Danio rerio: one gene and its partners. The protein of the gene in region 4 purifies or fractionates together with the protein of the main gene of each other region. This does not show direct contact. Links are inferred from orthologs where the notes say so. Each region holds a gene or a part of one and is shown on either strand. Other genes may lie near its edges.

Region 1 (5,438 bases), on a different chromosome or scaffold from region 4:
TGTATGTGTGAACAGGTCCTTTTTGAAAATACCGGTAAATTCGTTCTGGCTATTTTCCGGAAAGAGAAGTTGTAACATTAACGGCAATTTGCCGGAATGCTGCGCTGTGTGAACGCAGAAGGAATATTTCCGGAATAAGCGCGTGCACGTCTAGAACGTGCTGACGTAAGACTTCTGCTTTAGCCAATCACAACAGTCAGACGCATTTACGTCCGCGCGGTTTGTGAGAATAAAAGCCTTTGAATATTTTTCCAGACGCATTTAGCTGCTAGAAGTTAGTCAGATCACGTTTATATGTTCTCCTTAATGCCAACTGTGCAAATAATCATCGATAAGATGCTTATGATAAGCCGTTGTTTGTTTACCTTCAAGCTTTGCGTGTGCCCATGAAACAGCCTGTGAGCGCCAGCACACGCACATATTATGAACATCTCGACATGCGAATATGATCCTGTGAAAGTTGTTTACAATATTGATCATCAAAAGAGTTTGTAATTTAGTCAAATGTTTACAAATACAAGCGCAGCCGTTTAAAGCTCATTTGTGGTGAATGATGTCAGAATTTACCGGTATTTTGGAATGGATGTGTGAATGCTCTTTTCCGGAAAATTTCCGTAACGTCCTCGCCTGTGTGAACAGCGCTTTTTTGAACATACCGGTAAAGTCGTTCCGTAAATTTTCCGGATATTTTCCGGTATCACTGTGTGAAAGGGGCTAATGTCAACGTTCAGTTTAGGGGTGAACTATCCTTTAAGTATTTTAAAAGTGTAAAAAAAAAAAAACTTACATTTTAGTTTAATTTTTTTTTTTTTTTTTTAAGTTTTTCAGATTATAGATCTATCAACAAAAACTGGCTTTTTGAACTAAAAATAATTATTTAACATACTAAAAAACAAAACCCTGTTTTGACCTCCAGGAACCCTGTGACAGCAGCACATTTTAGCTCTTATGTTTTATATTTTGTTACAGACATAGTGTCATCCTGCAACTGTTTTGCAGCATCTGAAATGACCCAAACACTATTTTAACTGTCCGAAATGGCCCCGATATTGTTTTGTTTACTGATAGTCAATACATGTTCAAAAAAATGTGTTTTATGTGTTATTAATGCATTAAAATATGCATTTTATGTAAATTCGGACCAGATGATACTTGGGTTTTATTCTAATTAGGTTCCAATAAGCCTAAATAGCAAAAAGAAATTTAAAAATCCATGTAGAAAAAAAACATCTTGGGCCTAGGATAACACAAGAGGCATAGAGGTGCTAAAAAAGCCCAATCAATCAAAAACTTACAAACAATATGCTTAGCTCAGAGTAGGCATGTCTGCAAAGTACGGCTGTGCAATTTGGGAAAAGATCTAATTGCGATATATATATATTTTTTTACATTTTGCAATTTTGATTTGATTTGTGATTAAATTTCTTAGTTAAGCTTCAGCTCAATCACACTCCTCATAAAGCCACCTGTGGTGCTTTTTCAGGTGCTGGTTGTTGTATTTCCCCATGCTGGTAACAATTCTGTGTCAGACAAATTACCTGTTTTTGATCGGTGTCTGGGACTTTAAAAGAAAAATATTCTCATATTACTGATGTTCTGTTTCTCTTTGATATTAATTTGTCTATTAATGCTTTTCAAGCAACCGACACCATCTCACTCGTCTGTGCTTTCCAGTTTGTTTGTTTTTTAATGTGGGCATTCCGCATAGATCTGTTGCACTTCTGATTGGCCGAACGAAAGTGTGCTCATTCAATTGGCTTAGTAAGACTGTCACAATTAAATAATATATAAATCGCAGCCTCTTGCAATTAGATGAACGTAGGGTTTCAAAACGATTGTGATTCGATTTCGATTAATTGCACAGCACTTTAAAGGTTGATCGATCATTGTTAAAAAAAATCTAATTGTAAAAAATTCTGAAGAAAGTTGAAAAATTGTAAACATTGACTTCCATAGCATTTGTTTTCCCAACCGCAAAAGTCAAATGATACAGGTTTTCAGCTCTTCAAAACACCTTCTTTAGTATTTTAATAAAATAAAGAACATAAATGTTAAAACCACATGGGGATAGTTACATCACATACGTTTATTTTTTTTTGTCAACTTCCCTTTAAGTGAAATAAAAATCAACTGAGACACAATTACATTACATTAGCTAACTATAGCTTCCAAAATGGATGACAATATCCAAGTCCAGCACTTACACTGCATCAGTGTGCGTCTTTGTCAGGTAATACCGGTAACTACACTTTGGATGGCAAAAGTTATGTCAGACAAGTTATGTCACAGCAGGTTAACTTCCTCGAGTTACAGTCCGGTAACCGATCTTTGCAACTCAACATGCTAATAATTCAAGTCAAGCGTCCGTCTGTCAGTACGTCCACAGAAACCTCAGACAGAAAGTTCCAGAAGATAAAAACTGATCATCACAAAGCATATCCTAAATGCGTTCAGGGTCGAATTAATGTCTCAACTTCCAAAAGTGGCAGTGAAGAATAAATATAATTGAAACGTCACATGCATTAAAGAGACAGTACACCACTAATGTTAACTACAATTTATCAAAGGAGATGTCAGGTAGAATGTTCGAGACTGACAGCTTCCTTTTACTTTCGTTTTTTTTTTTTTTAAACAAAACAAATCTGAACGATGTATTAGTTGTCATAACGTCCCCTAAATTGCCGTGCGGTGTCATTTAAACACGTGTGGAGATGTTCATACTTTTTGGTGAGCTGTCTCTTTAAGAGATATTATTCTTAAATAAACAAATAAATAAATGAAAAGACGACTACAGTTGTATGCTTTTTCCAACATGAACAAAATGTAGAATCTAGCCGAAACTTATTGTCCTTTGATGATACAAGGAGACTGCATGGACAGAACGTCATTTCCTCTATAGACTGACATTACATGCATGTGCATTGTTGTCACCTCAAATTAGCAACTAGCACAATTTCAAGCAATTTAACACAACAATGCGTCATCGCCGGACAACCAGATGTTTGAGCTGTCATGTGTGCCGGCTAAAGTGGGTCTGCATTGTGTTCTTAAGAGCAGTGATGATGTCACGTTGCATTCAACCTAATTCTTACCCTTAAAACTGTGTCACGGCGCACAGCACATCTGTCGTGTTCATATACGACGCATGGCACACTTTAGCATCGACTATAAAGGTCAAAGCCCATTTAAGCATGTGCTCAAAAACAAGTACAGGTTAATCGCAAGGCACCCCAATGTTAAAGCAGGCGCCTGGCACACTAGGCCATCGACACCCCTTGATTTTCAAGTTATGCGGCAATCTCGATCTCAGAGTCCTTCGTACACCCATGTGCCCGATCGGGGCTTTGCCAAAACACAGCTAGCTCAAGGCCAGACTAGCCGGCTTCGTATTAAAGTGATTCGGCTTTTCGGGTACCTCTCTAACTCCTCGTCGCTGGTTAAGTCCATCTCTGGATCCACGGACGAGTCGTAGTCAACAGTCGCCATTTTGCTGTAGAGAGGCGGAGGATGAAGCGAGGCATGTGAGGCTTTCATACCGCCTTCCGCTCCGCCTTCCGCCACCGTGCGCAATATGCCCATAGTAGGTCAACGGATACGAGATCCTGCCAAAAGATAGTGTTCAGAAAATATGTTCAAATATATATTTTTTAAAAAAGTTAACTGATGTACACACTACGGCGTCCGTCTTACGATGTTTTCAAACAATTTCTTTCCTAATAAATCCTTATTTTGCTCAGTGGGGAGCAGCTTTGCCTTGTAGCAGTAGGTGGCGACAAATTACCGTGTTTTTCAGTTAGGTGTGTCATAAAATTGAAACGCAGGAAACAAAGTTTAAATACAAACAATAAATCAACCATTGGAAATAACAGACAGACAGAAACTGTGGTCATTTCTTTGCTATGTCTGCTGAGCATTTTGTTAAAAAAAATTGCGGATTTATGCAGAATGATTTTAAAAGTATCATAACTAAAAACTTAATGTATAATAAAAAAAATTATAAATTTTTTACTTAAATTAACCTTAAATTTTTAAATAATTGTTTACTGTTTGCAACAAAAATCCACTTATTTGGTAAACAAAGCAAGTCTCTTGTATAATATCTACTAAAAGACAGAAAATATTATTTTACAAACTGTATTGTAAATAAATCATATGAACATTTCAATATTACTATTGTTATAATGATATTATTTAATTCATTTTCTTGTTGGCTTAGTCCCTTTATTAATCCGGGGTCGCCACAGCGGAATGAACTGCCAACTTGTCCAGCAAGTTTTTATGCAGCAATTGCCCCTCCAGCCACATCTCTGGGAAACATCCACACACACATTCACACACACACTCATACACTACGGACAATTTAGCCTACCCAATTAACCTGTACCTCATGTCTTTGGACTGTGGAGGAAACCGGAGCACCCGGAGGAAACCCACGCAAATGCAGGGAGAACTTGCTATCTCCACACAGAACCAGAACCAGCGACCCAGCAACCTTCTTGCTGTGAGGCGACAGCACTACCTACTTCGCCATATAATGATATTAGTGAAATTAATTTAAAAACTGAATAAATATAAATTTAATCCATGTGGGCCTAAATATGGGATATTTAAGCCAAAAATCTAATTTTACTCTTTACTCACTGCTTTCAAACTGTTATGAGTTTCTTCCATTGAACACAAGAAGATACCTTGAAGAAAACTGAAAATCATTTAATTGAGGCTCTGACAGTCAATGCAGGTAGCTTTGCAGTAGGCTTCAACAAATTACAGTATTTTTGAAACACACGTACGAAAAGGTAAATCGATAGTTCAGCCAAAAATGAAATATTACTTACTATTTACTCAACCTCAAGTGGTTCCAAACCCTTATGAGTTTCTTCTGTTGAATAAAAAATCTGCGGATTTATGCAGAATGGTTTTAGCAGCATCATAACTAAAAACTTAATATGTGATATAAAAATAATACATTATTAACTTTTTTTTACTGTTTACAATGCAAATCCATCTAGATGCACTTATTTGGTAAACAAAGCAAGTCTCCTGTATAATATATCTACTAAAAGACAGAAAATATTATTTTACAAACTGTATTGTAAATAAATCATATGAACATTTTAATATTACTATTTTTATATCATGATGATGTTAGTGAAATTCATTTAAAAACTGAAAAAATATAAATTTAAACACATATACACTAGTAAATAGATAGACTCAATGATAGACTTCAAATCTGTGCATAGCAGAGCAATGGCAGCATTGCAGTAGGCGGAAACAAATTATCATATTTTTGAATTTAGTATATCATAACAAATAGAAACACAGGCAGGACAAAAAGTTTAAAACAACCAAGCAAAATAAACAGTAAGAAATACACATAAGAAAAGTTAAATCAATAGTTCAGCCAAAAATGAAATATTGCTCACTATTTACTCACC
Region 2 (5,576 bases), on a different chromosome or scaffold from region 4:
GTCATTTCTTTAGTAAATTGATCAGGGAAATCCATGCCTGATGTAAGTTACTATTTGAAGATAAAAGCTTTTAGATATGATTTGTTTAATAATATTTTTCATCTATTTAATTTTGAATCAAACTGATCTTGATTAAGTTTACTCCTAACAATTTCCCTAAATGACAAGAATGAGAAAAGGCATCAAAGTGACAGCATGACAATTTGACAGTAACCTTCTATTATGACAGCAACGCAAGCAAATATCCAGCAACCTTTCTAGCTCATTATACTGCAGTTGCTGCTTGCAAAAATATATCCACCTTTTCCCCTTTTAACACCAAGCTTAAAAGCATATTTCATTTGTTAGATGGGTTTGGTGCTCTATGTACAGAATTGACATTTACAGAACAGTGTGTTAATGATTCGGTCGTGCGAGTACATCTTGATGGTCTCTAACAGTTTAAGTGGGCGAGCGCCTTTTCTGGCAACTCAACACAGCTCGTATTACTTGCTGTCCAAACTGCATTATGTAAGAGTGAAGATTTCAAACAAAGATTTGAACATTTTTAGCTGGCAACAATTTTTAAAACTGTAACTTTTGCACAGATCTATCGAAAGTCATAGACACATTAAAAGTGTAAGTAATTTTAAATGAAACTGTAATTTTAAAAGTTACAGTTAATATTTAATTTAAAAAATAAAATACAGTTAGAATAAAGTGATTTAAGTTAAACTTTATACCATATATGACAGAAACTTTTACTTCTGCATTTAATGCGAGATACTATACATGTACATTTGACAGACTTATTAGCCCTCCTTTGATTTTTTTTTTTCTTTTTTAAGTATTTCCCAAATGATGTTAAACAGAGCAAGGAAATTTTCACAATAATTCTGATGATATTTTTTCTTCTGGAGAAAGTCTTATTTGTTTTATTTTGGCAAGGACAAAAGCTGTTTCTTTTTAAAAAAAACAAAACACAAAAAAAAAAAACACATTTTAAGGTCAAAATTATTAGGCCCTTTTAGCTATAATTTTTTTCAATAGTCTACAGAACAAACCATCGTAATACAATAACTTGCCTAATTACCTTAACCTGCCTAGTTAACTTTATTAACCTAGTTAAGCCTTTTAATGTCACTTTTAGCTGTATAGAAGTGTCTTGAAAAATATCTAGTCGAATATTATTTACTGTCATCATGGCAAAGATAAAATAAATCCAATATTATAAATTAGTTATTAAAACTGTTATGTTTAGAAATGTGTTGAAAAAAATCTTCTCTTTGTTAAACAGAAATTGTGGGAAAAAAATTAAAATGGGGGCTAATAATCGAGGGGGTAATAATTCTGACTTCAACTGTATACAATATATATACACAGTAAAAAAAATCTGTGATTTTACGGCAGCTGGAAAAAAAAAGTAAAATAACGGCTGTTAAATTAAAGAAATTTCCTTAAATGTAAATTTTTGGTAAATTTCTGTAATTCAACCTGTTGTTTTACAGTAAATCTCTGTAATTTTACAGTCGTTACTTTAAATAAGTAAATGAAATAGTCTTTTCAAATAAATAAACCATAAAATTATTTTTTTTTTTACAGATGGCAGCATACTATATATTATTGTACGAAACAATATATATTTGGAAGTGAAATCAATCATCATATACTTTAATAATATATATATATATATATATATATATATATATATATATATATATATATATATATATATATATATAATATTTATTAAAGTTATATTTAACAAGCAACCTTTTAGTTCAGATGGATGAATGCAGTAATGGACTTTAAGAGACATAAAATATTAAATAAATTAACTGTAATAAAACTTATAACATATTCTGAACATTACAATCAACATAAAATACTGAAACTGATGTGCATTTTGAAATTAAAATATTGATAATATTTGATATTGATGACCTGATAATTCTACTCAGCACCACCATTGATAGATAGATAGATAGATAGATAGATAGATAGATAGATAGATAGATAGATAGATAGATAGATAGATAGATAGATAGATAGATGGATGGATGGATGGATGGATGGATGGATGGATGGATGGATGGATGGATGGATGGATGGATGGATGGATGCATGGAAGGATGGTTGGTTGGATGGATGGATGGATGGATGCATGGAAGGATGGTTGGTTGGATGGATGGATGGATGGATGGATGGATGAATGGATGGTTCTCACCTGGCGCAGACTGACCCGGACTGGATACACAATATCAGACCCCTCTCGTCGAAAGTGGCCGTGAGGCTTATCTTTAATGACAAACACAATATCGGCAGGGATAGTATTAGGCGTTTCGTCACCCTCCCGTGGAAATGTGATTTTGGTTCCCTCTTTCCAGCCACGCTTTATCTCAATAGTGAGGATTTTGTCCTCGGTTCTCAAGGTTCGACCATCCGGATTTAAGCGCTTCCGTGAGATTTTCATGCGTTTGGTGCTTCCGTGAAAAACCTCCTCAAGTGACACCCGGAGCTCGTGGTGGATAGCCGGGTCTTGCTTCCTGCGTGGCGGGCCACCTTGACCTACGTGCCGTTCGCGTGGAAATCCATTTATGTTAAAACTCGTAAAGGAACCAAAAGGATCGTTTCCGTCCACTTCCATGTCGTCCTCATCTCGTCCGTTGACTTTCCTGCCAAAAAATACCTCAAAAGGACTGGCTCCTCCGAAAAACGTGGCGAATGTCGCGTGAGGGTCTCCATGGAAGGTGTAGGTGAAGTTGCCACCTGGGCCGTCGGACGCTCCTCCACCTCCTTTAAGACCTAATAATATAGAAAAAACTCATTTTATTTTCGAAAAAATAGACTGAGGAAGATTTAGGCCACAAACACATGCTGTCATTGCTATGCAACCCAGCGCAGTTATCTAGTAAACACACCACATATAATACCATGTCTATTTATAATTAGAATAAGACAGCAGCGACATATCCATTTTGACATTTAGGCTTGCAGGGAGCATTGTTTCTACATGAAAAGATTTAGCCTTTTGGTTGAGCAATGATGAGGACTAAAATAAAAACATAACCATATGGTCAGCTTATAACGCAATGTATATATTTTTGTATAGCCTAAAGCCTACATTATCTGACATATTTTACAGTATGAGTTGGGTAGATATAGAGAATATGTTCTTTGTTACCATGGGTATTACTGATATGAAGGAAGAACATACCTTCTTCTCCATACTGGTCGTATATTTCTCGTTTCTTTGGATCGCTGAGAACTTCATAAGCCTCTGCGACCTCCTTGAATTTCTCTTCAGCGTTGGCTGCCTTGTTCTTGTCAGGATGCCATTTCAAAGCCTGCTTTCTGTACGCCTTCTTGATATCGTCGTCTGATGCTCCTTTCGTGATTCCCAGTATTTTGTAATAATCTTTGCCCATTTTCCACTATGCAGACCGCGCTGCTGCCGCTGCCCGAGGATTCGACTGTCGGTTGATAAAGAAGACGGCGAATAAGAGCGCTACACTGTCAAATCCTGCCTCTTTAAACCGTGATACAGATGATCAGTTGATCTCTTTGTGTCTGTTTGGAGGCGGTTACTCAGCACTAAAGATCTTGTGTTATTTTACCCTCTTTAAATAGCCATTCCTCCCTCCCCTGTACCATTGCAGCTCCGGATTCAGAGCGCTTTCTAGAACGTAATAGCTGAGGCACGTCATTTCCCATTTTCAAATACAGTCTCAACCAGGAGCGCAACGTTCTCTATCTATCTATCTATCTATCTATCTATCTATCTATCTATCTATCTATCTATCTATCTATCTATCTATCTATCTATCTATCTATCTATCTATCTATCTATCTATCTATCTATCTATCTATCTATCTATCTATCTTACACTTGAAAACTGTGTACAATCTTTATTTAAAAAGTTACTTGAACAATTAGAATTTAAAAAATATTCTTTTATTTATTTATTTATTTATTTATCTTATATTTTTTTAGTCAATAATGTGACAATCTAAAAATTAATAAATAACAATCTAGAAAAAAAATAAATATAAATAATAATGAGATGGCGAGTAGTGTTGGTAGGTAGTGCTGTCACCTCACAGCAAGAAGGTCAGCTGGCGTTTCTGTGTGGAGTTTGCATGTTCTCCCTGCGTTCGCGTGGGCTTCCTCCGAGTGCACAGTCCAAAGACATGTGGTATACAGGTGACTTATTGGGTAAGCTAAATTGTCTGTAGTTTATGAGTGAGATTGAGTGTTTAAATGGTTGATTCCCAGAGATGGGTTGCGTTACTTGCGTACAACATGTGCTGGATAAGTTGGTGGTTCATTCGGTGGTGGCGACCTTGGATTAATAAAAGGACGAAGCCGAAAGGAAAAAGAATGAATTAATAAGGATCAGAAATAATAATTTTTTCAAATTTAGTTTTGTATAAATCTCAAAATCAACCCTTCTGGATCACAGTCCCGATCAAAACTACTAAATTGCCTAGAAAATTACAGCATTTGAACCATTTAATTTCCAAATTCATAAATAATGTCACTGATTTGCTGAAAAAAAAACACACAAAATTACATATTTTCAATATAAAAAGTCACTGTGGGTTGTATTTTTTTAACCTTTTATCAAAGTCTTAGACATGTGACACAACATTGCCTTTGATCCAAATTTACATTGTTTTTGATTAATTTGAATTTATTTTCTCATTAATTTACTATTGTTGTCACATTTTTTGGATTACAAAACCACGACACCATATAATCATACCTTTTTGATTGTTGGTGGTAAAATTGGTAATTTTTACTGTTGATCATCAGTTGACACCATTAACCCTTTAGATGTTTTTGCCTGTGCAAAAAAAAAGCTTAGTTTCTGGATTTTATATGGAGTATAACATCATATTACAGTGTGTGTATGTGTGTCTATGAGAGTGTGAGATGTGTCTGAGAAAATCTAATAATGCATCTTAGCTCTCAGAACTACATGAAGTAAACATAAACAAAGACTGTGTGCTTATGCTTCATCAAATGTGGTTATAATGGAAGTCAACGGGGCAACAACAGCCACCAACAGTAAATTAGGAAACTAAATTAGGGAAAAAAATGAAAATTCAACAATGCATCAAAGCCAACGTTGGTGTCCAAGACTGTGATAAAAGGTTAAAAAATTACTTTTTATATTAAAAAATACGTCATTTTGTGTGTTTTTTCACCAATAAGTGAAATCATTTAAAATGTGCCAATTAAAGAATTAAAATCTTGTCATTTTCTTAACATTTTTTTATCAGCAAAGAGTTTGATTAATAGATTTATGCAAAAAAAATTAAGAAATATTTATCAGATTCAATTTTTACAGCAGTTTAATTACAGCTGATGTTTTCATCCCTAACATAACAAAAGGGTAGTTTTTGAACAGTGCACAAGGGGTAAAATAAACTATATTCCTTAAATGTTACATGTAAACATTTACTTACACCTTAACTTGTTCTAATCCTGCTTGACTTTCTTTTTTCTTTTTAATGCAAAAGACAATATTTTGAAGAAAGCTGCAAACCTGTAACCATTGACTTCCATTGTATTTGTTTTTCTATATAAATGG
Region 3 (5,617 bases), on a different chromosome or scaffold from region 4:
CCGGCTGGAGTTCATGGTCACGCTTTGATGCTGTCTTTATTAAAGTGCTCTCGTCTTCAACTCTAGCGTACGCTCTCTGATCCTCCATCCTCCAGAGATCATGCACATTGTGTCCTGAATCACAAAGACAACATCTTGAGATCATCACATGATTGCAGCCATAAACCAGAGCACGCTGGCAGTGTGCACACACCTTAAACTCTTAGTGCATGAATACTGTGTCAATACGTCAGGTCAGGTGCTGTTAAAACTACTTAGTAGGCATTGACTTCCATAGTATAAATTTGGAACAAGCTAAGGGAGAGTAAATACAGACGACAGATTTAATTTCCTTGAGTGAACTGTCCATAAGCATAACTAAATGTCTGTTTTAATTGGCCACGTTTGAGTTATCTTGAGCTAAAGCACCACATGCTGAAACATGTCAACTCTGCTAGTGTTTTAGAAAGTTTAATAGGGTTAACTGAATCAAATGTCATATATTTATGTCATATTTAAGCATTATTTTACATTATTAATAGATTCTGTTTACTGTTATGTTAAATGTATGTTATACATTCACCGGCCACTTTATTAGGTACACCTGTCCAACTGCTTGTTAACACAAATTTCTAATCAGCCAATCACATTGCAGCAACTCAATGCATTTAGATGTGTAGACACGGTCAAGACGATCTGCTGCAGTTCAAATCAAGCATCAGAATGGGGAAGAATTTAAGTGACTTTAAACGTGAAATGGTTGTTGGTGCCAGATGGGCTGGTCTGAGTATTTCAGAAACTGCTGATGTACTGGGTTTTTCACACACAACCATCTCTAGGGTTTACAGAGAATGCTCCGACAAAGAGGAAATATCCAGTGAGCGGCAGTTCTGTGGGTGCAAATGCCTTGTTGATGCCGGAGGTCAGAGGAGAATGGCCAGACTGGTTCCAGCTGATAGAAAGGCAACAGTAACTCAAATAAGCACTCGTTACAACCGAGCTCTGCAGAAGAGCATCTCTGAACACACAACACGGCCAACCTTGAGGCGGATGGGCTACAGCAGCAGAAGAGCACACCGGGTGCCGCTCCTGTCAGCTAAGAACAGGAAACTGAGGCTACAATTCACACAGACTCACCAAAACTGCACAATAGAAGATTGGAGAAACGTTGCCTGCTCTGATGAGTCTCCATTTCTGCTGACACATCCGGATGCTCGGCTCAGAATTTGGCCTCAATGTCACCTCATCTATGCCACGAACGATTAAGGGGGTTCTGAGGGCAAAAGGGGGCCAACCCGGTACTAGTGAGGTGTACCTAATAAAGTGGCCAGTGAGTGAATATAATTTCCAGGGAAACAAAATGAATGGAAAATGCTTAAATACAGCGGACAATCTTGGTATTCTTCTTGCTGTTCATCTTTTGGTGTTTACTTCCAGCAAAATAACCATCAGCATGAAAATGTTTCCATCAGCATGTTAAATATTAGCCAGCAAAGCACTTCTGACAGCAATAAGCAAGCTAGTGGTGTACCTAATAAAGTGGCCGGTCGATGTATAAGTTATTAACTACTTATTTTTCTATTACTATATTTTATTATTTACGAACGACCCGATTCAGTAAGAAATCTGACCTTTTTACTTTAAACTTCAATCATTACACGTTAAAAATAAATAAATTAATCGCAAAATATCTAGTATGTTTATACAAAACTCCATCTAAATAAGGTCGCGAACTACATAATGTTTTAAAATCCCCTCATGTTTTATTTTTTATTCAGACTCTTATATTAGCACACATAAAACAAACATCAACAACTTCCTACATGATATGAGCGCGTACACATCTACTGTACACAGCGATGCTAACATGCTACAAAAAACGAACTAGCCTCATCACATATGAACATAAAATGACATAAAATGCGCAAATATTTGTGCTGTCTCTCAGTAAACTTACCAGCTAATCTCGTTTCAGAGTGTTTGTATTGATCCGTGTGTCTTTGCTTTCACTGTTGCGCTCAAACAGGAAGTTGTTGAATTGTTTTGCAGTCATATGATTCATAACGCAGCCTGGACTACACAGGCGCCAACATGACCGAGATTTCTTCCCTAAACCGCAGAGTATCACACCAGGAACTCAATATTAGTTAGTCAGGACGGCATAAATATGGCAGAGCCTCTGTGTGAAATCTGCGGGGATGTTAATGTGTCAACATGGAGGATCAGAAAGTGCCTTTAAGTTCAAGTTTGATGTCAGAAACTCGGAGATCATGGCAGAAATAGAGGAGTTGTCCATCAGACTGAAGAAGCTACTGGTGAGGTTGAATCTTCAGGATGGGAAGCAGCTGGGGACAATGGTGCAGATCATAGAGGATCTCCTGTTCCTGTCCCATACTGAGCACTGTGGTGAGTCCTGACCACTCCAAAATGTGCTTTATTTACATTTCATGATGCGTATAATGCATGGATACAGTCATATTGACAGCAATGCAACATTCAGAGACCTCAATTGGTGTGTGTGTGCCTTTTTTTCCCCAGCGAGACATCTGCTGGGTTATTTTTAGACTTGTGTTCTTCTTTTGTCCTGCAGTTGAGCTGTTTGCGGATCAAAATGTCCATGTGCCTGTGTTGCTGAAATGCAGCGAAAGCGCCAGCATCAAAGTTCAGCAGGTACTGTAGCCACTTCAAAACATGTGACTTTTATTTTGTTAAACAAAAAGAGATATTGAGAAGAATGTTCACACTGCTCTTATTCATATTGAAACTGGAAGGGAACTGAAAGGGAATGGCTTTATTAATAATTAAAAAAAAATATGAATTATAAGTCAGCAGCAGGGTTTTTGATTTTATTACATGCTCTTAGAATAGAAAAGATTCGGTTCGCAGTAAAACAAAAGCCAGTGTCACCGACTCGGTCCCAGTCATTCCCCTCGCTGGCCAGCAGAGGCCGCCATCCCCGGACTTCTAGCATTACATCATCCACCTAGACTAATTGTGCACACACCTGATCTGAATCCCGTTAACGATCCGCGCTCCCTATATAAGCCACACTCAAACACCAGTTCATTGCGAAGTCTTGTTCAGCCACGGTCAACACTTCTGAGCGTTATTCACTGCCTGATCTTCTGTGCATTACCCCGGACTGGTTCTGACTCTGAGTTGCCTTCTGCCTGCCCTCGACCCACGCTTGTTATACGGACTCTGAACCACGCCGCCTGCCACTGATCCATGCCTGGTAAATCACTCTGTGTCTGTCAGCCGCCAGCCCCACGATCTATGTTGAATGCTGTTGATGTGAGTTCGCACTTTAGTGCGTGTTGTATGTTTGTGATTGAACTGTGTCTTTTAAATACTGCAAAATGGATCCCTCCGTGTCAGTCTCCTCGTTATAGCCAGATATTAAATATTTTTAATAATTAATATTATTATTTAATGTGTTTTTAAAATATTTTTATTATAACTTTTTGCATTCATCCTTGTGTCTTCTGCACATTTTGTCTGTAAAGTGCCTTGAGATGCTACTTTTAAAGGTGCTATCTAAAATAAAGTTTATTATTATTATTAATAATATTTGAGGAGATCCAACTATCTTTTTTTTTTTTTTTTTTTTTTTTTTTTTTTTATTTAATTTTTTATTATCTTAACTCGGAACAATAATGGTGATTTCGTGTTAGTAATTGCGAGTGATTTATTATGCTGCTCATCCTAGGTTGGCTGGTCTCTGCTGTGTCGGCTGATGGAAATCTGTCCCAACACTCTGGATAATCTGGCCAGACCGGTGGACTATGAATTTATAGATGCACACAAGTAAGTTGGAGTGTAATATTTTTAAGCATGTGCATGCATTCCAGGGCAACACGGAGGCTCCGTGGTTAGCGCTGTCACCTCACAGCAAGAGGGTCACTGGTTCGAGTCCCGGCTGGTTAAGTTGGTGTTTCTGTGTGGAGTTTGCATGTTCTCCCTGTCTTGGTGTGGGTTTCCTCGAGGTGCTCCGGTTTCCCCCACAAGTCCAAACACATGCCCTACAGGAGAATTGGGTAAGCTAAATTGTATAGGTGTGTATGGATGTTTCCCAGTACTGGGTTGCAGCCAGAAGGGCATTCGCTGTGTAAAACATATGCTGTAATAGTTGGCGGTTCATTCCGCTGTGGCAATAGGGGGCCTAAGCCAAAGGTGAATGAATGAATGAATGAAATTGAGCAAAAACTACAGATTTATCAGAGAGATTTAATCCGGGCCAGTGTCATGAACAAATAACTGCATGAAAATAAGTTCTTTGTAATTGTTTACATCTCGTAATTTGTAAAATTGCAGCTGATTTTTAATTAAGCGACTCTTTTTGATGCATGTTTGTTTATAGGCAGATTCTGAAGGTGCTTCACGAGTACCATAATAAAGACGCCAAGATGATGATGGTGGCCCTGAGAGCTCTGGCTCTGATGCTGAAGTCAGGCAAGTCTTGTTTCTACATAACGCCTGCTATTTCGTTCATTAAAGAGCAGCGGTTTCTGAAAGTGTTTTGATGGAGGTGTTTGATGTTTGTGGCTCAGGTGAGATCAAGATGCAGGTTCTGGATGAGGAGGAATGGGATGTGTTTTACTCGATTCTGGAGGCCATGAAGTCATTCAGTGACAGAGAAGAAGTTCAGCTACAGGGATGTACAGCTTTACAACCACTGCTGCAGACAGGTGACCAGGATTAGTTATTCAAATTTGAAATGGTGATATACACTTACCAGACACTATATTAGTTACACTTTTCTAGTACTAGGTTGGACCCCTCATGAGCACGCCTCCTCATAAGGAGTTACAAACTAGACTAGAGCACCATCTCCTGTTAAAAATACTAGCCTAGAGCGTGATCTGCTGTTAAAAGTAGCCTAGTGCGTCGTCTGCTGTTAAAAAAAACTAGCCTTGAGCGTTGTCTGCTGTTAAAACTAGCCTAGAGCACCATCTCCTGTTAAAAATACTAGCCTAGAGCGTGATCTGCTGTTAAAAGTAGCCTAGTGCGTCGTCTGCTGTTAAAAAAAACTAGCCTAGAGCGCCGTCTGCTTTTAAAACTAGCCTTGAGCGTTGTCTGCTTTTAAAACTTGCCTAGAGCATTGTCTGCTGCTAAAACTAGCCTAGAGCGCCGTCTGCTGCTAAAACTAGCCTAGAGCGCCGTCTGCTGTTTAAAAACTAACCTTGAGTGTCATCCGCTGTTAAAAATATTAGCCTAGAGTGCCATTCACTGTTTAAACTAGCCTAGAACATTGTCTGCTGTTATAAACTAGCCTAGAGCGCCGTCTGCTGTTAGAAGTAGCCTAAAGCACCATCTGCTTTTAAAACTAGCCTAGAGCGTCGTTCGCTGTTAAAAATAGCCTAGAGCTCCATCTGCTGTTTAAAAACTAACCTAGAGCCCCGTTTGCTCTCAAGAAAATTTGCCTAGAGCGCTGTCTGCTGTTTAAAAACTAACCTTGAGCGTCATCCGCTGTTAAAAATATTAGCCTAGAGTGCCATTCACTGTTTAAACTAGCCTAGAACATCGTCTGCTGTTATAAACTAGCCTAGAGCACTGTCTGCAGTTAAAAATAGCCTAGAGCGCCATCTGCAGTTAAAACTAGCCTAGAGCGTCGTCTGCTGTTAAAGTAACCTAGAGC
Region 4 (4,842 bases):
TCCATATCCATACTGAAATGAAACGTCCCCAAAGACAATACATCATTGCAATTTTTGATTCCCCATCCACTTTGAAATTTGACAAAACTGCAGGAATGGTTCAAATGTTTCTCTCGCATGCTTTTTCACAGTTGTCTTCTTTAAAAGACAAGTGTGTAAATTCATGTTGAAAACAATTCTTTCTTTCCTGGCTTGAACACCCTAAAATAAAAGCCATTGTGACAGAAAATACACACTTCACTTTTAAACTGACATTGCAAAGCAGTGTTTATTTCAATGCAATGTCCTTAAATTAAACTGGGGGTTATATGTAGAAGTTGCTTGAAAACCAAAAATAATGTTCCAACATGTGGGGTCAGTCGTTGTTTATATGCAGGGTTTATATATGAAGAGCTCGGGTTCTAACTGCAGCTATGAACACTAAGCTTGTCTGACCTTTTAAAGTGATGGTTCACCCAAAACTGAAAACTGTTCTTTTTCTTGTTGTAAATATTGTTGCAAGTGTTTTCTTTTTTAACAGTTGATTGCAAAAGAAATCATTTTGAAAAAAAATATATAATAATCTGGATATTCTCTTACCATTGACTATAAGTTCTATTATTTGTTTTTTCCACTATGGAATTTGATGGTTTTAGGTTTTCAGCTGTCAAAATATTGTCTTTAGTGTTCAAAAACCAGAGGAAACTTTTGTTTGGGTGTGTTTGGAATGGTGAGTAAATCTTAATTTTTGGGTGAACTATCACTGTAATTATCTGGAAATGGCCTCATTATGAGTATGTTGTGGTCAAATCAGGGAATGATGTGTTACCAAATGGGTTATAGTTGACAAGACTGAAGCGCTGACGTGTTCACACTGCGAAAAAGACAACATGTGCTCCACACAGGCATGTGGTAAAGCAGAAAGCAGATTTTGGCAGCAGAACAGGGTTTAGCACCACACCACACCAACCAACAGCTCAGATTCAACCAAAAAGATCATGGATTATTGTCAGGAAAACAAAAGCTTCATATGCAGTAGTAACTGCAACTCCTGCCAGAAGATGGCTGTTTTCAGGGACCAGTAAAGGGCCAACAAAAGCAGCAGGTACAGTGCATCATGGGTAACAGTGTCGCTACCCATGGCGATACACAGTCTTTTATATACAAATTAAAAATTTCACCCATGGCCTGTATGGTTGCCAAGGCCGTGCTAGTCCTAATATGTTGCACATTTGCTGATCTTTAATCAGGGCAATCCAGTGTCTTATCCACTCAGTACTCCCACTCATCCGTCTTCATATCCAGATAACTAAGAATATTCTGGGCATGTTTAACAGCTTGCTTACGGGCAGTTTTGGTCCCCTGGTCACCCTGAGGGTCCACAGCGTCAAGAGCCAGAAGTTGTTTGGTCAGTAGCTCCTCCAACACCATGTAGCTCTTGTCGGCCCTTTTGCCATCGAAGCCCAACACCTGGGCCTGCAGATCACACAAACTGCCCAGCACTCGCCACACGGCTGCATGAGGTGGAGGTTCATCTGGCCCTGGATTACGTCGTCCTAGTGCTTCCCAGAGGTCTAGGAAGGTGATGAGCGCCTGCACCTCTAGCACAGCCCTGCGTCGCGCCTCCCGGATGCAGGGATTTCGGCCTGTATTTACCTGGTCCAGATGGTTAAGGAGACCCTGCAGCTCTATTCCCTGTCCAGAAGCTCCATGCCGAAGCACCTCTTCTCGCAGCACTGACACACGACCCCTGATAGCCTCAATTTCACGAATAGAGTCATTCTGTGCTAGATCATACCTGAAAGAAAAAAAATTGTAAGTATATTATTGGAAAAAAGATGCTTTTTAATTCATCCAAGTAAATAAATTTTATTCAAATATATACATGCACCACAATTACTCCATAACTACTCAAAAGTTTGAAATAACTTCCTTTTGTTATTTGATTAGGCTTTTTATCATAAAATGAAACTGTATAAATGCTACTGTATGTTAAGAATTGCATTATAAACATATTCTTTATTCTTATTGTAATACTAAGAAGGTTTACATAGCACATAATAAATAGCTGATGTAATCCAGGTCCCCGTATGAATAAAATAAATATAACAAGAATTGTTAGTGCTCAGTGCTCACCTATTTAAGGTGGTCAAGAGTGCTTAACGTGCTGCAATTTAAGAAAACACATGCAAAAACAAAAAACATTAGCAATTAAGAAAAGACACAAGCTGCAAATCCTCAAAGCAAAGACAGTAAAAAACACGCTGCCGTTTTTCACAACACAAACAATTAATGAAATCGAGCTGCCTTTTCTCACAACACTTCCAAAAAGAACGAAACACAATGAAAATGTTTCAAGGGTACCGAAAAACGTGACAAACATAACTGTATACTCAGTGAAGTTGTAAGTGATCTTTGAAAGGGGAGTTTTTTGTTTGTTTATATTAACATCTTGATTCCCTTGTTTTTTGCATTTTATTAGCCTAAATAACCAGAACCTAAATAGCCAGGTCCCCTTAAAACATTTTCACTGTGTTCCGACCTATTTGAAAGTGTTAAAAAGAAAATGCAGCACATTTTATTCATTTATTTGCATTGTGGGAAAATGCAGCCCTATTTTTATGTGTTTGCGTTGTGAGGATTTGCAGCACGTTTGCTGTCAAACAGATGAAGATCTTTTCTAAATTTGCTGGCATGTTTGTGTATTTGCATGAGTTTTCTTAAATTGCAGCACATTAAGCTTTCTCTGCCACCATACTTTTTTTTCTAAAAATTAGGAACAAATAAAAATAAAACAAAAAAAAGTGTTTTAAAACAAAATTTGCAAATCCATGTACAAATCACATAAGGCTTCTATTTCATATTAATGACATTATGCTTACTTCGTTACAAAATTTTAGACTTCAGTGTCACAGACTTTTTTATAATATAAAAATCTGAATTATTAAACCTACTTTAAAATTATTTTCTTTTGTAAATATTTCCCAAATGATGTTTAACAGAGCAAGGAAATTTTCACAGTACCATATGTCTGATAGTATATTTTCTTCTGGAGAAAGTCTTATTTGTTTTATTTCAGTGGGAATAATACTAATTACCCTGACCTGCCTAGTTAACCTAATTAACCTAGTTAAGCCTTTAAATGTCACTTTAAGCTGTATAGAAGTATCCTGTAAAATATCCAGTAAAATATTATTTATTGTCATCATGGCAAAGATAAAATAAACCAGTCATTAGAGATGATTTATTAAAACTATTATGCTTAGAAATGTGTTAAAAAAATCGTATTCCCGTTGAACAAAAATTGGAGAAAAAAATAAACTGGGGGGCTAATAATTCAGGGGGTTTAATAATTCTGATTTTTGATTGCGTATGTGCGTGTGTGCGTGGTTCAATGCAGTCCCATAGCTTTAGAAATGGATTTTTAACCTTTTCCAGACTGGTAGATCTCAATAAAAATCTTTTGGATCTTGGCATGATGTCTAGCTTTTGAGGATCTTTTAGACTACTTTACTTTGTCTTCACTTTTTAGGTCCTATTTAAGCTATTTTTTAAATTGTAAACAGGTGTGGCAGTAACAAGTTCTGGGCGTGGCAAGAGAAATTGAACTTTTGTTGTGATAAATTAGCATTAAGTTATCTTTAAATCTTATCTCCCTTAATGATAAAAATCTTTATTAAAAAAATGTGTGATGTGTTTAATTGTGCTATCTTTGACTAACATTTAAAGGACACCTATGGTGAAAAATCTACTTTTCAAGCTGTTTGGACAGACATGTGTGTAGGTATAGTGTATTGACCATCATATTGGGATGATATAAACACACACAGTCCTTTTTTTTCAATTTAACAACATAAAAAAGGTTGAACCAATTGGAGTGGTTTTCAGAGCAACCGCAACTTGACGTAGGAGTGCAGTCCCCCAGCCCAGTTTGTTGTTTCACGTCTGCCATTTTCAGCGTGTGAGTCAAAGCGATGTCACTAAAGGAACACCCTTGCTCTATTTTTATATGTAAGGCTCATTAGGCTCAACACAAGATGAACATACACCACTTGATCGCTCTAATCAGAATTATTGTTTGTAACTTTAGGTAGGTTTGCAAATATGAGTACTTTTCATTGTGTCTACCTTAAACTGGAAAGTGCGAGCACGTTGCCTCAGGTGCACGTCTCTTCATTGGAAATAAAATAACAAACTTGCCTGCAGGAAGCACACCATAAGCGCCGCTCTGCGTGGCCCGACACTGAGCATGCATTTTAGAATTCTAAACATAGGTTTCTATCAGGGTACACACAACGGCGCTTCAAGTCGACGGCTGGCCGATTGGGCACAATTCATGCTTCTGCCGCGTCACAGAGCGTCATCTAAACAATTAAATTTAAATAACATCTGAATGTGTGTGTCTGGTGTGCCGTGTCGCGGCTCCGAGCGGCGCATCTGGTGCCTCAATCAAAGTTAATTCAGTGTGCTTGGTTATTAGTCTCAGTGTACAAGCTCGGCACTTTAAACTAGCACACAGTTGGCTGTAAAACAATACAAAGTTACAAATGATTTTGTACTCTCTGCTTGGTCTGTGTCCGAGTCGTACATGTACAGCCGAATGCTGGTCCTCTCACTCGTTGCTTCTCTCTTTCTGCCTTTCTGTTGCCAAACACAGAGTGGGGGAGCTCTTGGCTCCGCCTCCTTGTTAACTTGGGAGGGTAGTCGAAACAGATTTTCATGTGAAGCAAAACACCCCTAAAACAGCAAGCTGTGTACACGTCCCCAAAATAACACTTTTTAACACTTTATAATAAAAATCTGAACTGTGTTTTGAACTGAACTTAAACTGGCACACTCAGAAGAACCATAATATGAATATTA

What was found. Proteins that work in one complex are often made in the same cells at the same time.
Region 1: the proteins of bag5 (region 4) and dnajc7 purify together in Homo sapiens (affinity purification with mass spectrometry; 4 studies listed by BioGRID and IntAct, with this or other methods). This does not show direct contact. The link is inferred for Danio rerio from reciprocal best matches to the Homo sapiens genes BAG5 and DNAJC7.
Region 2: the proteins of bag5 (region 4) and dnajb4 purify together in Homo sapiens (affinity purification with mass spectrometry; 4 studies listed by BioGRID and IntAct, with this or other methods). This does not show direct contact. The link is inferred for Danio rerio from reciprocal best matches to the Homo sapiens genes BAG5 and DNAJB4.
Region 3: the proteins of bag5 (region 4) and lrrk2 purify together in Homo sapiens (co-immunoprecipitation; 3 studies listed by BioGRID and IntAct, with this or other methods). This does not show direct contact. The link is inferred for Danio rerio from reciprocal best matches to the Homo sapiens genes BAG5 and LRRK2.

What each region holds. Positions count from the first base shown.
Region 1 is NC_133178.1:16,658,822-16,664,259, reverse strand, and holds the start of dnajc7 (dnaJ homolog subfamily C member 7), read right to left. Parts: upstream 3,588-5,438; 5' UTR 3,580-3,587; coding exon 3,416-3,579; intron 1-3,415. UniProt on the Homo sapiens protein: Acts as a co-chaperone regulating the molecular chaperones HSP70 and HSP90 in folding of steroid receptors, such as the glucocorticoid receptor and the progesterone receptor.
Region 2 is NC_133177.1:9,895,411-9,900,986, reverse strand, and holds the start of dnajb4 (dnaJ homolog subfamily B member 4), read right to left. Parts: upstream 3,588-5,576; 5' UTR 3,408-3,587; coding exon 3,197-3,407; intron 2,785-3,196; coding exon 2,207-2,784; intron 1-2,206. UniProt on the Homo sapiens protein: Probable chaperone. Stimulates ATP hydrolysis and the folding of unfolded proteins mediated by HSPA1A/B (in vitro).
Region 3 is NC_133200.1:38,243,618-38,249,234, reverse strand, and holds the start of lrrk2 (leucine-rich repeat serine/threonine-protein kinase 2), read left to right. Parts: upstream 1-2,030; 5' UTR 2,031-2,177; coding exon 2,178-2,385; intron 2,386-2,569; coding exon 2,570-2,649; exon of another isoform or gene 2,650-3,214; intron 3,215-3,237; coding exon of another isoform or gene 3,238-3,273; intron 3,274-3,688; coding exon 3,689-3,786; intron 3,787-4,339; coding exon 4,340-4,431; intron 4,432-4,529; coding exon 4,530-4,667; intron 4,668-5,617. Other genes in the region: slc2a13b (solute carrier family 2 member 13b), read right to left, coding at 1-88. UniProt on the Homo sapiens protein: Serine/threonine-protein kinase which phosphorylates a broad range of proteins involved in multiple processes such as neuronal plasticity, innate immunity, autophagy, and vesicle trafficking.
Region 4 is NC_133188.1:17,741,905-17,746,746, forward strand, and holds part of bag5 (BAG family molecular chaperone regulator 5), read right to left. Parts: intron 2,147-4,842; coding exon of another isoform or gene 2,116-2,146; exon of another isoform or gene 2,099-2,115; intron 1,778-2,098; coding exon 1,252-1,777; 3' UTR 1-1,251. UniProt on the Homo sapiens protein: Co-chaperone for HSP/HSP70 proteins. It functions as a nucleotide-exchange factor promoting the release of ADP from HSP70, thereby activating HSP70-mediated protein refolding.